Linked DNA regions of Nothobranchius furzeri. The protein of the gene in region 1 purifies or fractionates together with the protein of each later gene. This does not show direct contact. Links are inferred from orthologs where the notes say so. Each region holds a gene or a part of one and is shown in the gene's direction. Other genes may lie near its edges.

Region 1 (4,442 bases):
CCCACAGGCTCGACTGTTTTTCTACTTTCTGAGCTGAGCACTAAACAGAAACTCTTCCAATAACGGTGGTTTAAATGCGTTTTTATTGCCATCTTTGTGTTGAAGGTATTGTTTATGTGAAAAAATGTTTCTGCACCATTTATTTAGTGCGTGTGGACTCCCAAACAAAAAACTGCTGTTATTTTGCTGTTTTGGACAAAAATGGAAACCTCTTCGCAAAGATTTAGATCAAACTGAAAACGGTTATAAAAGTTTTTGTTTTCGGTTAAACTAATGTCTAGAACACCAAATTTGGCAATTCATGCCACAACCCGGACGACACACGACCACGAGGTCAGCGCTCAAGCGAAGTGAATTTACCCGTTTCATCCGAAGCATTTCCGCCGAGGAAAATAGACTTTTCATAATAAAAGTATATGAAATAATAACAGATTGGAGATATTCGTGTGAAATTTGTTTTCTTCATTTTGTATACGAGAGTTTTAACAGCTGATATAGTCTACCTGTTGTATTAAACAAAATGTTCACTGCTGAAATAAACAACTAAATGAACAAGTAAATAAATAGGACCTATTGTCTAGTTGTGGAACCCTTCAGACAATGTCCATAGTCTGTTATTTTAACCTATTTAACATTAAAGCTACAAAAATTGTCCTGTATCACATTATTCGTTTAATTCTGATTTAATTAACAGCCAAAGGAGGCAGTTTGTTTCAAGGTCTCATTAAAAAATAAAATGCTTTATAGGCTACTTACAAAATTACAAACGTGTATGTTTATTAGTTATATTTATTTACTTTCATAGGAAGGGTTTATGTTGTAGGGGTGAAGCTTTTTATTTTTAACATTAAAAATTTTAATTTCAAATTATTTGACAGTTTATTGCAGATATCATTTCTTCAAAGAAATTTAATTTATTCTCTATTCTTTTCTTAAAGGGCATTTAGATCAGGATATTTTCTAAATGATGATTAAAAAATGTGAAAGATAGGATACAGGACCCATAATGTAAATAGAACTGGCCCCAAGATGGACCTTTGAGGAATTACACAAATGACAGGGACCTTTGCAAAGAATAAACCCACAATTAAATCAAAATGTTAAAGATGAGGCGGGCACTGCTGAAATGAATTTCACCTGAGTCAAGTACACAACTCTACAGACAAACTTAATGAAACTTATCAAAGCTCTGCTGGAGTTCGAATCACATTGACTGAAATAATAAAAGGCGAATTTTACTAAGCTGATACCACATAAGTCCCACTGTTGTAACAATTACTTTTATTCATTTATTTTTCATTGATAATTAAAAAAATTGTACAAAGTAAAACTAAATGCAACAAGTTTATATGAAACTCTTATGAAACATGTTTGTGAAAACATAAAAAAAACATATTTCTTCAGAGATAAAGACTGAAATGTTAAAGGTAAATAATAATTGCAATTTTTGTAATATGCCATTTTTTGGTAATTTTTTTAAATAAATTTGCCCAAAATATTACAACTTTACGACATTCCCAATGTTTTTATTGTGAAGGCACAAGCTAACCGTTAACGGAAGTATTTACCATCACTCCACGAGCCGTCGCTGCTACTCGTCGACCGCGCGCTGGTTTGGCTAGCTAGCGAAGAATATGGCAAGTCGAGCACCATGAAGTGCGGATGCATTACACGGATCACAGTTTTCAACTGAAAATACATCGATGGACCACTGACAATGACGTCAAAGTAGAGCACTGTTTGCAGTTATTACAAACCCGTAACACCTTCCCGGGGAAGTTTTCATCTGGTCAGCGGAGGGGAGAAAATCTCACCAGGAGCATGGCTTCTTACAGCAACCAGGTAGCTCGGCTAGCATTAGCCAGTAAAACAACTGAATGTGGAATTCATCTAACCGTTATTTAAAGCTTTACGATCACCTCTCTTTTGCAAAAACATGTTCACCAAATAATTATCATACCATATTCGTGTTATGCTAAGTTGTGTGTTTTCATTTACAACAGCGATTTGATCGTGTCATTGAAATTCGTAGTGCTGAAAAGTGCTTGCTAATGCCCCCCATCCACCCCCCCTCCTCCCAATGAAACACAACCAGCATGGTAACATTGCTAACAGGCCGTGCGATCCTCCATTCAAATGAGCCAGCAGTACTGCTTACTGCTATTTTTAAAAGCTACGAAAGCATTTTTTCATCTAATCGGTTCTACAGCCCGCATAATGAAACGACAGGGATTGCTTGGTACCAGATTCTACGATTGTCATGAATTATTTGTTAAGAGAGAAGTCACAGGAAAGGAAACTGCTGCGTGTTTGCACGGCCCACCTGCTCTGCTGACACGGGCCTTCTCGACTTTGTTTTCTTAAATCAATACTACTGAATACACGTCCAATATCAGGTGCAAGTTCCGATTCGCGGATATTTTTCCGCAAGCAAATGTAGGCGTATGCTAGCAGAAGTAAAGCCAAAGATGAGATGCATTTTCGAGCTTATTTAGCTGTTAGCAGGCTAGCAGTTTTGCACAGGTGGTGTGCATTGCTGTCATTTCGCTTGCTGGTTAGCTGAATACTGTGCGACAGCGTGGGCCTTAATTCGTATTTTGACATTTTATGCAAACGTAAGTAGACACACGATAAAATTAGCTATGGGCAATTCGCGTATGCAAACGCAAACTAGCTCTTCTCGCTGTGTGATAGAAGTTAGTCTGTAGGAAGCAGATTCGGGTTTTAATTCCGTGGAGGCTAACCTTCATGTGGGAAGGCCCGTTTTGAGGTGTGCATGCAGTAACTTGCAAGTAAGTCCGGGGTTTGTTGTGTTTGACTCAAAGTTAGTGTTTTATTTAAACGAAAGCACATCAATTAGGAACCCGTCATAAGCCGTTCGTTTGAATTAAATGTTCAACAAAACATGTATATTTATTACAGGAAGCGACGTATCACTGGAAATTATGTTTTCACACCTTTTCCTGCCCCAAACTGAGCATTTCTGTTGGCTGACTGTTCAGCAAAGCAGTGGTTTACGAGAACCAAAAAAATAAAAATAAAATAAATTAAATTCAGTTTCAGCCTTTTTTCCCCCTTTTATACAAAAGTACATTTACGTTGTGAAATGATCAGGTATCAGCCCTGAAATATTTGATTTCTCTTATCACAAGAGTATTTGTCAACTTTTAGGCATGGGGTAAATGGTCAATATTTACTGAGAAATATTGATTCCCCTCCATTTAAATTGAGCAAATTTCAACCATTATTAGATTTAAAAAATCCTGTTTAATTGTTGTTCACATTTAAATTCTTGAATGAAGCAGCTGCTGTTAAAGTGAACTGAATAACAAAATGTGTGCACACACTTATAGGTTACCAAATACAAACATCAGTCAAAGCAGGTCATACTTCTTCTATAGTGAAGAGATAAAGGTTAGGAAACAGGTCATGCTGGAAAATCTTGTCAGTTATACTTTTTACCCGTTTCTATTGATAATGGCAGATTTGGTTCTGCTTATTTTTTGCATGGTCATTCAAATCTAAAGGCTGAAAGACAGAAACAAGTTATGTTTGATTTATTTGATTTTCAGGCTTTCAGAATTAAACATTTTTTATGGTGAACAGGTAGTAATTATTGCATTTTGGGTTATTTCTACTTAAATACCACTTTTAATAGTTGTTGCACTGCTAAGAAATATAGTTGTATTGCTTATTTATATTAAAACAATTAAAAGTATATATCCTTCCTGTCTTCTAATGTGTATTTTAAAGTAATGACATGTCCCTGCAGGTGCATGCACACTTAGCAGTGTTCTACAGCTTCTCATGTTGACATAGGGATCTGTTTCTGTCAGAGTACACAAACTTTCCTCAGAATTTGTGTTTGATTCCCAGCGTGTAGATTTCATAAATATTAAAGGTTTGTCAACAGAAATATTGCAGAGAAGCAAATTGGTTTAGTCGTTTAATTATGTAGAAAATTTCTGAAGATTATTTAATACCATAATAGTTTCTCATAAATCACATGAATATGCCTGAAACAAATACATCTGCTGGCATCTTGGCATCTTTTATACCCGTGTGTATCTCAGAGTTTTCATGAAATGGTCAAGTGTGTTGTGTCATCGTGCAATAGCTGAAATTATACAGATGTCCAATTTGTTGTAATCTGTTGTATGCTCATAAAAAGATGCAAAGGGACATTCTTTCTGTTGTGACCGAGTTGTTCCGAGGCTGCTGGGATTAAAGCCGGCTGTTTGTCACTTGTTGTGCTGTTTCAGCAATGTGAGCCCTAATGGGGGGGCCTTGTTTGCAAAGAGTTACATATGCTTGAACTGCACTTTCTTTTCTCTGTGCCTTCCCTTTTCACAGCCGGCTATTTATTGCTCTGAAAGGATTAACAGCGCGGCCTGTGAGTTCATTAGGTGTGTTTCCACTACCGGGACTTCATGGTAATTTTA
Region 2 (3,653 bases), on another chromosome or scaffold:
TGTGATTGGCCATTTCTTTAAAATTTGTCAACAGCACCTCCATTTGTCCTTCAAAAAATAAAGAGTGCCGAAGATATCTAGCAGCAGACACAGAGCAGCTTGAAGAATAACTTGTGGAAAATCTCTGAAAATGTGAGTGTTTTATTCACCCGTGACTAGAGGAGTAAAAAGCAACCGTTTTATTTGTGGATGGAAATGACAGGAAACGTGGGTTTAAAGGTGGCGAACACACAAAGAGGTGGCGAAATATGAGGGACAAATTTGTCTATGTTAAAAGGAATCTGAAATACAAAAATAACACAATATAAACTCCATAGTAAATACACTATCTTGGACTGGATACAGGACTGTAATGGTGACAGGATACCCCAGAAAAGTGCAATACCCTACCCTAACCACCAACCCTCTGTTGTACTGGTGAGGAATTTCTTTGCAACACTCCACAGCTAATGGAGAAGTATAAGTAACCACTTCAAATGTAATGACTAAAAGAGCGTTCCAGACCTTTAATTGTTCAAAGTCTACCATTTATAGATCAGTGTGAGCTTAGTTCACTAATGTAAACCAAGCATAGTTTTTAAATATAATTTTACTTGGTTTCAGAGACAATTGTATAAAAAGAGCAACTTCTAGAAATGTCATAGATCCACAAACTATACAACAAAGTTTAGATTGTAGCTGTCTTGTAGTTTTTTTCAGTTGTATTTAGATGAGAGGGTGTATACGACCAGAAACTCAACATGAGATGGACTCCACATCAGCTCCTTGGGTAGTTTTAGACTCTTTGGTATATAAAATAATGTATTATCCATTTTTAGACTTCTCCTGACTGTTGAAGGTTATTTTCTTTCATTTAGCTGTAGGCAGATTTTTTTAATGCTTTATTTTTCATGATCAGATTAACATTTTGGTTCATTAGTGATTTCAGTTGTAACCATTAAACTTTATTGAGGCTAAAGTTATTTATATTTTTACATAGATAAAATAAAGTGGATATTTTGAATTAAGGTCTAACATTTTCTTTTGTTTTATTTCAAATAGATTGAATATTAACATTCAGAACTTGCCTTACATATTATGACATATTATGCAAAACTCATCTTTTGCATCCTTGTGCTGCCATATGAATGTCTACTCCCTCTATAAACACTCCATTTGTGGGAATAAAAACCCGTCCATCTGTTTTCTGTCAGTGTTTGATTTCAGAAAATATGTTTCTAAAACAAGCAGTTTCAAAAAGTCCTTCTTGTGATGTCACAAATGGGGAAATTGGCAAAGAATGACCTCTCATGTAGAGCTGGGTATTGATTCAAATTTCAAGAATCTTTGGTGCTTAAAGTCCCATTCCAATAATCTTTTGTAGCTGTTTTAAACAGTTCTCAGTGGTCTTTAAACTGGGTAAATCCATCTTTGGACGTACTAATTGATCCTCATGAATTTTTATGAGAATCGATTTTTTTTTTCAACACAACCCTATGAGCTGCTGTTGGTTGAACAGTGGCTCTACCCCGAGCCCCTCCCGAATGTCTGAGTGGGTGATGGGTGGGCATGGTCAGCTCTAGCTTGTTTTCTTTAAGCGACAGGGCCTTGAAATGACTTATTCTGGAAGGTACTGAAAAGGTCATGGATAAAACTGCTGAAATTGTCTCATGTGAGAGGGATCTAGTGAAAATAACTTCATTAAAAGGTTTTGTTTCAGCCATAGAGCTATGAGAACTTGATAAGGAAGGTCATAATATGTTTTCTTTTAAAGTACAGCAATAAAAGTCAGACCCCTCATAGCTGAAGTTGGTACACATCAAATCATTGGAAAGTCATACATGAGAATTTGCCTGCTGCTGACATGAATAATTCCATAAATTATTCTTCACTTTAGGATTTTTTTATTATCTCATTAATTTCTTATTGGTGCTGAATTAGATATTAGAGCTGACCAAATAACCAAGAGAGAATACCTGACTGCACGTGAAAAGCATTTCTTTCTGTTGTAGTACCGTCGTTCAGCACAGGAGGGTGGTGTTTGCTTCAAATCCACCTGGAACAAAGTAGCATCTTTTATGTTCTTCAGTACACCAAGATGTGCTTTTCCCCCTTGCCCTACAAAGTAAACCTCTACAAAATCATATGTGAAGTGTTATTTCTGTTTATATTTATACACACACATACATGCTTAGGGATGTGGAACAGATGAATATTCGATTGATCTTCCTGTCAGTCAGCTGGGTGTGACCCTGGAGGTTGCATCATTAAAACCAAGGTTACCGTATACGCGCTGTTCCCTCTAATGCAAAATGCATTCCTGCCAGAGATGTGCACAACGTTCATGCCCCCCAGGTTAACATGATTGACGGCATCAAAGTGTGTGAATGCACTGATATTCATTGTCCTGCAGTCTGTTTTTGTGTTTTCCATGGCGATATGTGACGTAAGTGATGAGTGACATTCGTCCCAATGCCTCGCCGCTGACGAGCCTTTGAACTCGTCTCTGCTGAGCAGGCATTAAACCAAACCGCTGATAAAAGATTGAGCTGGAAGTTCAAACTGAAAGCGAGAGATGAGTCTGTTTACTCTCGCGTTTGAGGACTGACAGGGTGCGTTCCCTCGTCTGATGCATAGACACGGGAGTCCAGTCAAGACACCTAAACTGTCCTGTTAAACAAAGAAACACAACTGCCAACATCTCAGTTGCTGCTTATGATATTTGTGCTCTTAGAATAATTTTGTATCTTCAAAGTTTATCTAGAAGGAGAAAATTCAATCAATTTTTCATATTTTCATTGGGATTAGCCTAAAAGCTTTCGACAACATGTTTACACACATTTCCAATCCTGTTACGGTTTTACTCCTTTAATAACAAATTCAGAATGCAGACATGTTTCTTCCCCTTTCCAATCCCCTTAATGCGTGCTCCATGTATTCTCTTCAGGGGTCCCAAGGGAGTGTGGACTTTAGAGGAAAAGGGTGAGTCGCCGCACTTTGATACCACCTTTGAAGATGCGCGCCCCAGTTTGACTCACCTGGCCCTCCTGGGACTGCAGCGGGCCGGATACCTCAAGTATCTCATCAGCCAGAATGTAGATGGTCTGCACGTTCGATCGGGCTTCCCCAGGTAACCTCATTCTGTAGCTGTATCCCACCACTCCGCTCAAGGTAGATTCAAAATCATTATGTGGAACGTACGATCGATTGACCGGAATACAATTATTTAAGTTCAGTTCAGATGTTATAGTTGGTGCTTATGGTTTTACTTTGAGTTTTCAACCCATCGTTACAGAAGAGACGAACACTGGCTTCAGAAAGAGTCTGGAGACTTAACCACCAGGAAGTGGGAGACACATCAGACCTTTAAAACTGCAGTAAATCTGTGTTCCAGAGCATATTTTATTACTGCGCCCAAATTTTACTTTTCTGAAATAGTTTTGCTGTAAAATACGTGCAGACTTGCTTTTATATTCATCCATCCATCCATTTTCAGCCGCTTATCTGGAGTCGGGTCACGGGGGCAGCAGCCTAAGCCGAGAGGCCCAGACTTCCCTCTCCCCAGCCACTTGGGCCAGCTCCTCTGGGGGAATCCCAAGGTGTTCCCTGGCCAGGTGAGAGACATAGTCCCGCCAGCGTGTCCTGGGTCTTCCTTTGGGTTTCTTCCCAGTTGG
Region 3 (3,653 bases), on another chromosome or scaffold:
GGACTTTGAATTACCAAGCAGAGAGTGACACACATCCAAATAAACACTTCTTTACCCTTGTCTGTTACATGTAAACAAGCAAGTGTGATTATATTTGTTTAGCTCAAACTCACCATTCTCCCTGTGTTTTGTGTAAAAATACAGAAATAAGAAGTAATCACAGGCTTAGGGTTGATACTTTTGTTTGTTTCTAAGAAAACTACACTTGTCAAGATTTTCTGTTATGAAGATGTGCTTAATTATGTTTTTCATAATTTGCGAGCCTTAGCTGGATGATTTGTACTATTCAAACACTCTGATGTGTTCACCCTGCAGTGGGCCAACATGAACTCACCAAGCATCAAGTGGCAGTGAAGATCCTGAACAGGCAGAAGATCCGCAGCTTGGATGTGGTGGGGAAAATTCGTCGGGAGATCCAGAACCTCAAGCTTTTCAGGCATCCTCACATAATTAAACTGTAAGTCCTAGATGACACACTGCTCACTTCTCCATAATCCCCTCACTGCCACATTAATGCCACCCACTCAGCTGCTTCCAGACTTTAGAACGGTGTGTTCACGAATACAGCCATCAGGATGATGTCTCTCTGACCCAGTCTGCTCTTCCACGAGCGCTCGGCCTGCTAGTTGCAGCGTGACCTCTTTGTCATGAATCCCTTCATCTTTAATGTGAGATCATAAGTTGCCGCTTTTATTCCAGGTTTATTAGTTGCTACAGTAATCACACAGGCTGTCATGTTTTAGGTCGTTTGTGGGCGACATCTGCACCAGTTGAGTCTTTATTACACCCTAATGTGCCAAGTCGAGTTAACACACGTATACAAATACGTGTTTTTACTAGCATACAGTAGGAATGCACAGACACTGGAGTAGTACTCATCTAAAAATAGTGTTGGAAATTGCAAAAGTACTTCCTGTCTGACCTGTGATGTCCCGAGTATTTCAGCTGCAGCTAGAGCGTTGTTAAACGGACCAGGAGGGGTGGGGGCGGCTAATCTGAACATCAGCTCGTGTCGTGCATGCACAAGAATGTAAACTTTGTGTGTGAGAGCTGCACAAACCTCTGGGACAAAGTGTGTAACTCTGCCTTAGAAATGTCATGCAACATAAACCTAAACCGCCAGCAGTGCTACATTTATTGAATCTCTGCATTAATGTCATGTTTGTTTATGTTTGTTTGTTTTCCAAGCCCTTACATATCTGCATTGCTGAAGTTGCATAAACATTTTTAAAGGTCAGGCTGTTGGTGTGAAAGGTGGATGTTTGATTTGTAAAGTCCTAAAACAGAACGAGAAGCAACAAAGATTTCTGAAAATAGACAAAAGGTAGTCTGATCTGATGTGTATTGCTTTTAAAAAAATATAATCTTTAATTTTTACTTATATTGCTGTAAGGACCTAATAAAGATATTTTTTATATTTAATATTAATAAATTGTATTTAAAAGCAACTATTAGGAGACCCAAGGAGGGCTGAGCAATAAATCAAACATTTATCGTTATCGAAATTTCTGACTCTTATGGGGATATTGTTTCTCATGTCAATAAATCTGATAATAAAAACTGAAAAGAGGTGTGTAGGTTGGCAACGTTCATGTCCCTTTAAGAAGCTGTACCACCTTTAGTCACGTAAAAATGTGACTCAGCGTATTAACAGCCCCATCTAGTGGACAACTTTTTTTTCTGCGCATACCTGATCGCCCAAGATGCACCGAGGACGTACCGTCCTGTTTGTTTAACTGAGTGGCGCGCTGGCCCGGAGCCAAACGACGGTCCCGAGCTGCGCACCTCCGGCTATGTTTATCCGGTCCCGGGAAAACGTCGGAGGAAAAGAGGTAAACGAGCAGGAATCCAGGTCAGAATAAGACTTCTCTTAAAGCGTGGTTTATCTAGTAAACATCGGCGCGATCTTCTAGCTTCTTGTCCTTTGTTTGGTGACCTGAGCGCCACTTCCGCATTCCCGCCAGGCCGCTTTGCAGCGCGGTACATCCATCCAAGTTTTTTAAGGTCGGTTTGTCCTCATTCCTCAGTGGTTTCTCCTCCTGTTCCCTCCATAAGTGGTTTTTACAAACACCGTGGATCTAACCCTGCTAATTTATGTCCACTAACTCCAGCTGTTTCTGTAGTTTCTGATTCCTCCACCCTCACTCAGCATGGCTCTATTAAATACCCGCTCTGTTAACAATAAGTCCTTCCTGCTCAATGATTTAATTCTCTCTAAAAACCTGGATTTTCTGTTTCTGACTGAAGTTTGGCAGCAAACATCTGATTATTCTGCTCTGATTGAACTCTGCCCGAGTGGTTATTCTTTTCTTAGCCAGCCCCGGGGTTCTGGTCGTGGTGGAGGCCTAGCTGTTGTTTTCAGAGACCATCTTCCAGGTAGCTCTACAACCTCTGGTCAGTTTGCTTCCTTTGAACTGCAGCTGATTAAAGTCGGGCGTAAGGACCCGTTCTACTGTGCTGTGGTCTATTGTCCACCTGGTCCAAACGGTTCTTTCCTTCAGGAGTTTAGTGACTTTCTATCCTCCACTGTGAAGCTGTCCAGACTGGTGATTGTGGGTGACTTTAACTTCCACGTTGATGATCCCTCTGATCACTTTGCCATGAATTTCTCCAGCCTTATGGACTCCTTCAGCTTTACCCAGCATGTTTCTGGCCCCACACACACCAGGGGGCACACTCTAGACCTTGTTTTTACCCTGGGTCTAAATGCTGACAGTGTTTGTCCTGAGGACGTTTATATTTCAGATCACCATTGCATTTTCTTTAACTTGTCAGTTTCTGCGTCCCCACCATATGGTTAGTTCTCGTTTTCTTAATGAGAGCACAGCTTGCACATCCACATCACCCCGCTTCTCCTCCAGCTTCACTGGCTGCCAGTCAACTTCAGGGTTCATTTCAAGATCCTGGTTCTGGTCTATAGGGCCTTACATGGACGAGCACTATCATACATTGGTGATCTTCTCAGTCCCTACACCCCCAGCAGGTCCCTGAGGTCCAGTGATCAAAGCCTACTGGTTATGCAGCGCACCAGGCTAAAGACCAAAGGTGACAGATCATCTGCAGCTGTGGCCCCCAGACTCTGGAACTCTCTCCCCCTGAGCCTGAGATCAGTGGACTCAGTGGTCTCCTTTAAAAGCAGCTGAAGACTCACCTGTTCAAGCTGGCCATCACCACTCTCTCTTTATTCTGCTCTCCCCACCTATTCCACCTTCCTCAGGATCCACTGATTTCCCTCTTTCCTATTCACTCTCTCTTTCTTAACATTTTTTAATCACAATTGCCTATTTTTGCTAATTTAAAATATATTTTTAAACATTTTCTAAATGCTTTTTTATATTTTTACATTTTTTGTTTTTGTAAAGCGCCTCGTGATTTTTATCTTGAGAGGCGCTATAGAAATGATATTTTCTTCTTCTTCTTCTACCTGTAGTTAATGTCCATTTATCGTTATTGAGGTGAAATCCTCAATATGTTGTGATATTGATTTTAGGCCATGTCGCCCAGCTCTACACTCAAAGTCAGTCCACAATAAAAGAGACAATAAAACGGATCAACAAAAACAGTAAAAAAAATAACTAGTAAAAGCAAACACAGTACAGCAGTAGGTGGAAACAGCAAGTGACAAACCGTGTAGCTACAGATGTCCGAGTCGT

The links.
Region 2: the proteins of usp10 (region 1) and sirt6 purify together in Homo sapiens (affinity purification with western blotting; 4 studies listed by BioGRID, with this or other methods). This does not show direct contact. The link is inferred for Nothobranchius furzeri from reciprocal best matches to the Homo sapiens genes USP10 and SIRT6.
Region 3: the proteins of usp10 (region 1) and prkaa1 purify together in Homo sapiens (affinity purification with western blotting; 3 studies listed by BioGRID). This does not show direct contact. The link is inferred for Nothobranchius furzeri from reciprocal best matches to the Homo sapiens genes USP10 and PRKAA1.

The regions. Positions count from the first base shown.
Region 1 is NC_091749.1:59,302,930-59,307,371, reverse strand, and holds the start of usp10 (ubiquitin carboxyl-terminal hydrolase 10), read left to right. Parts: upstream 1-1,562; 5' UTR 1,563-1,662; coding exon 1,663-1,842; intron 1,843-2,323; exon of another isoform or gene 2,324-2,456; intron 2,457-4,442. UniProt on the Homo sapiens protein: Hydrolase that can remove conjugated ubiquitin from target proteins such as p53/TP53, RPS2/us5, RPS3/us3, RPS10/eS10, BECN1, SNX3 and CFTR.
Region 2 is NC_091751.1:57,917,304-57,920,956, forward strand, and holds part of sirt6 (NAD-dependent protein deacylase sirtuin-6), read left to right. Parts: intron 1-2,926; coding exon 2,927-3,109; intron 3,110-3,653. UniProt on the Homo sapiens protein: NAD-dependent protein deacetylase, deacylase and mono-ADP-ribosyltransferase that plays an essential role in DNA damage repair, telomere maintenance, metabolic homeostasis, inflammation, tumorigenesis and aging.
Region 3 is NC_091746.1:66,880,638-66,884,290, reverse strand, and holds part of prkaa1 (5'-AMP-activated protein kinase catalytic subunit alpha-1), read left to right. Parts: intron 1-315; coding exon 316-457; intron 458-3,653. UniProt on the Homo sapiens protein: Catalytic subunit of AMP-activated protein kinase (AMPK), an energy sensor protein kinase that plays a key role in regulating cellular energy metabolism.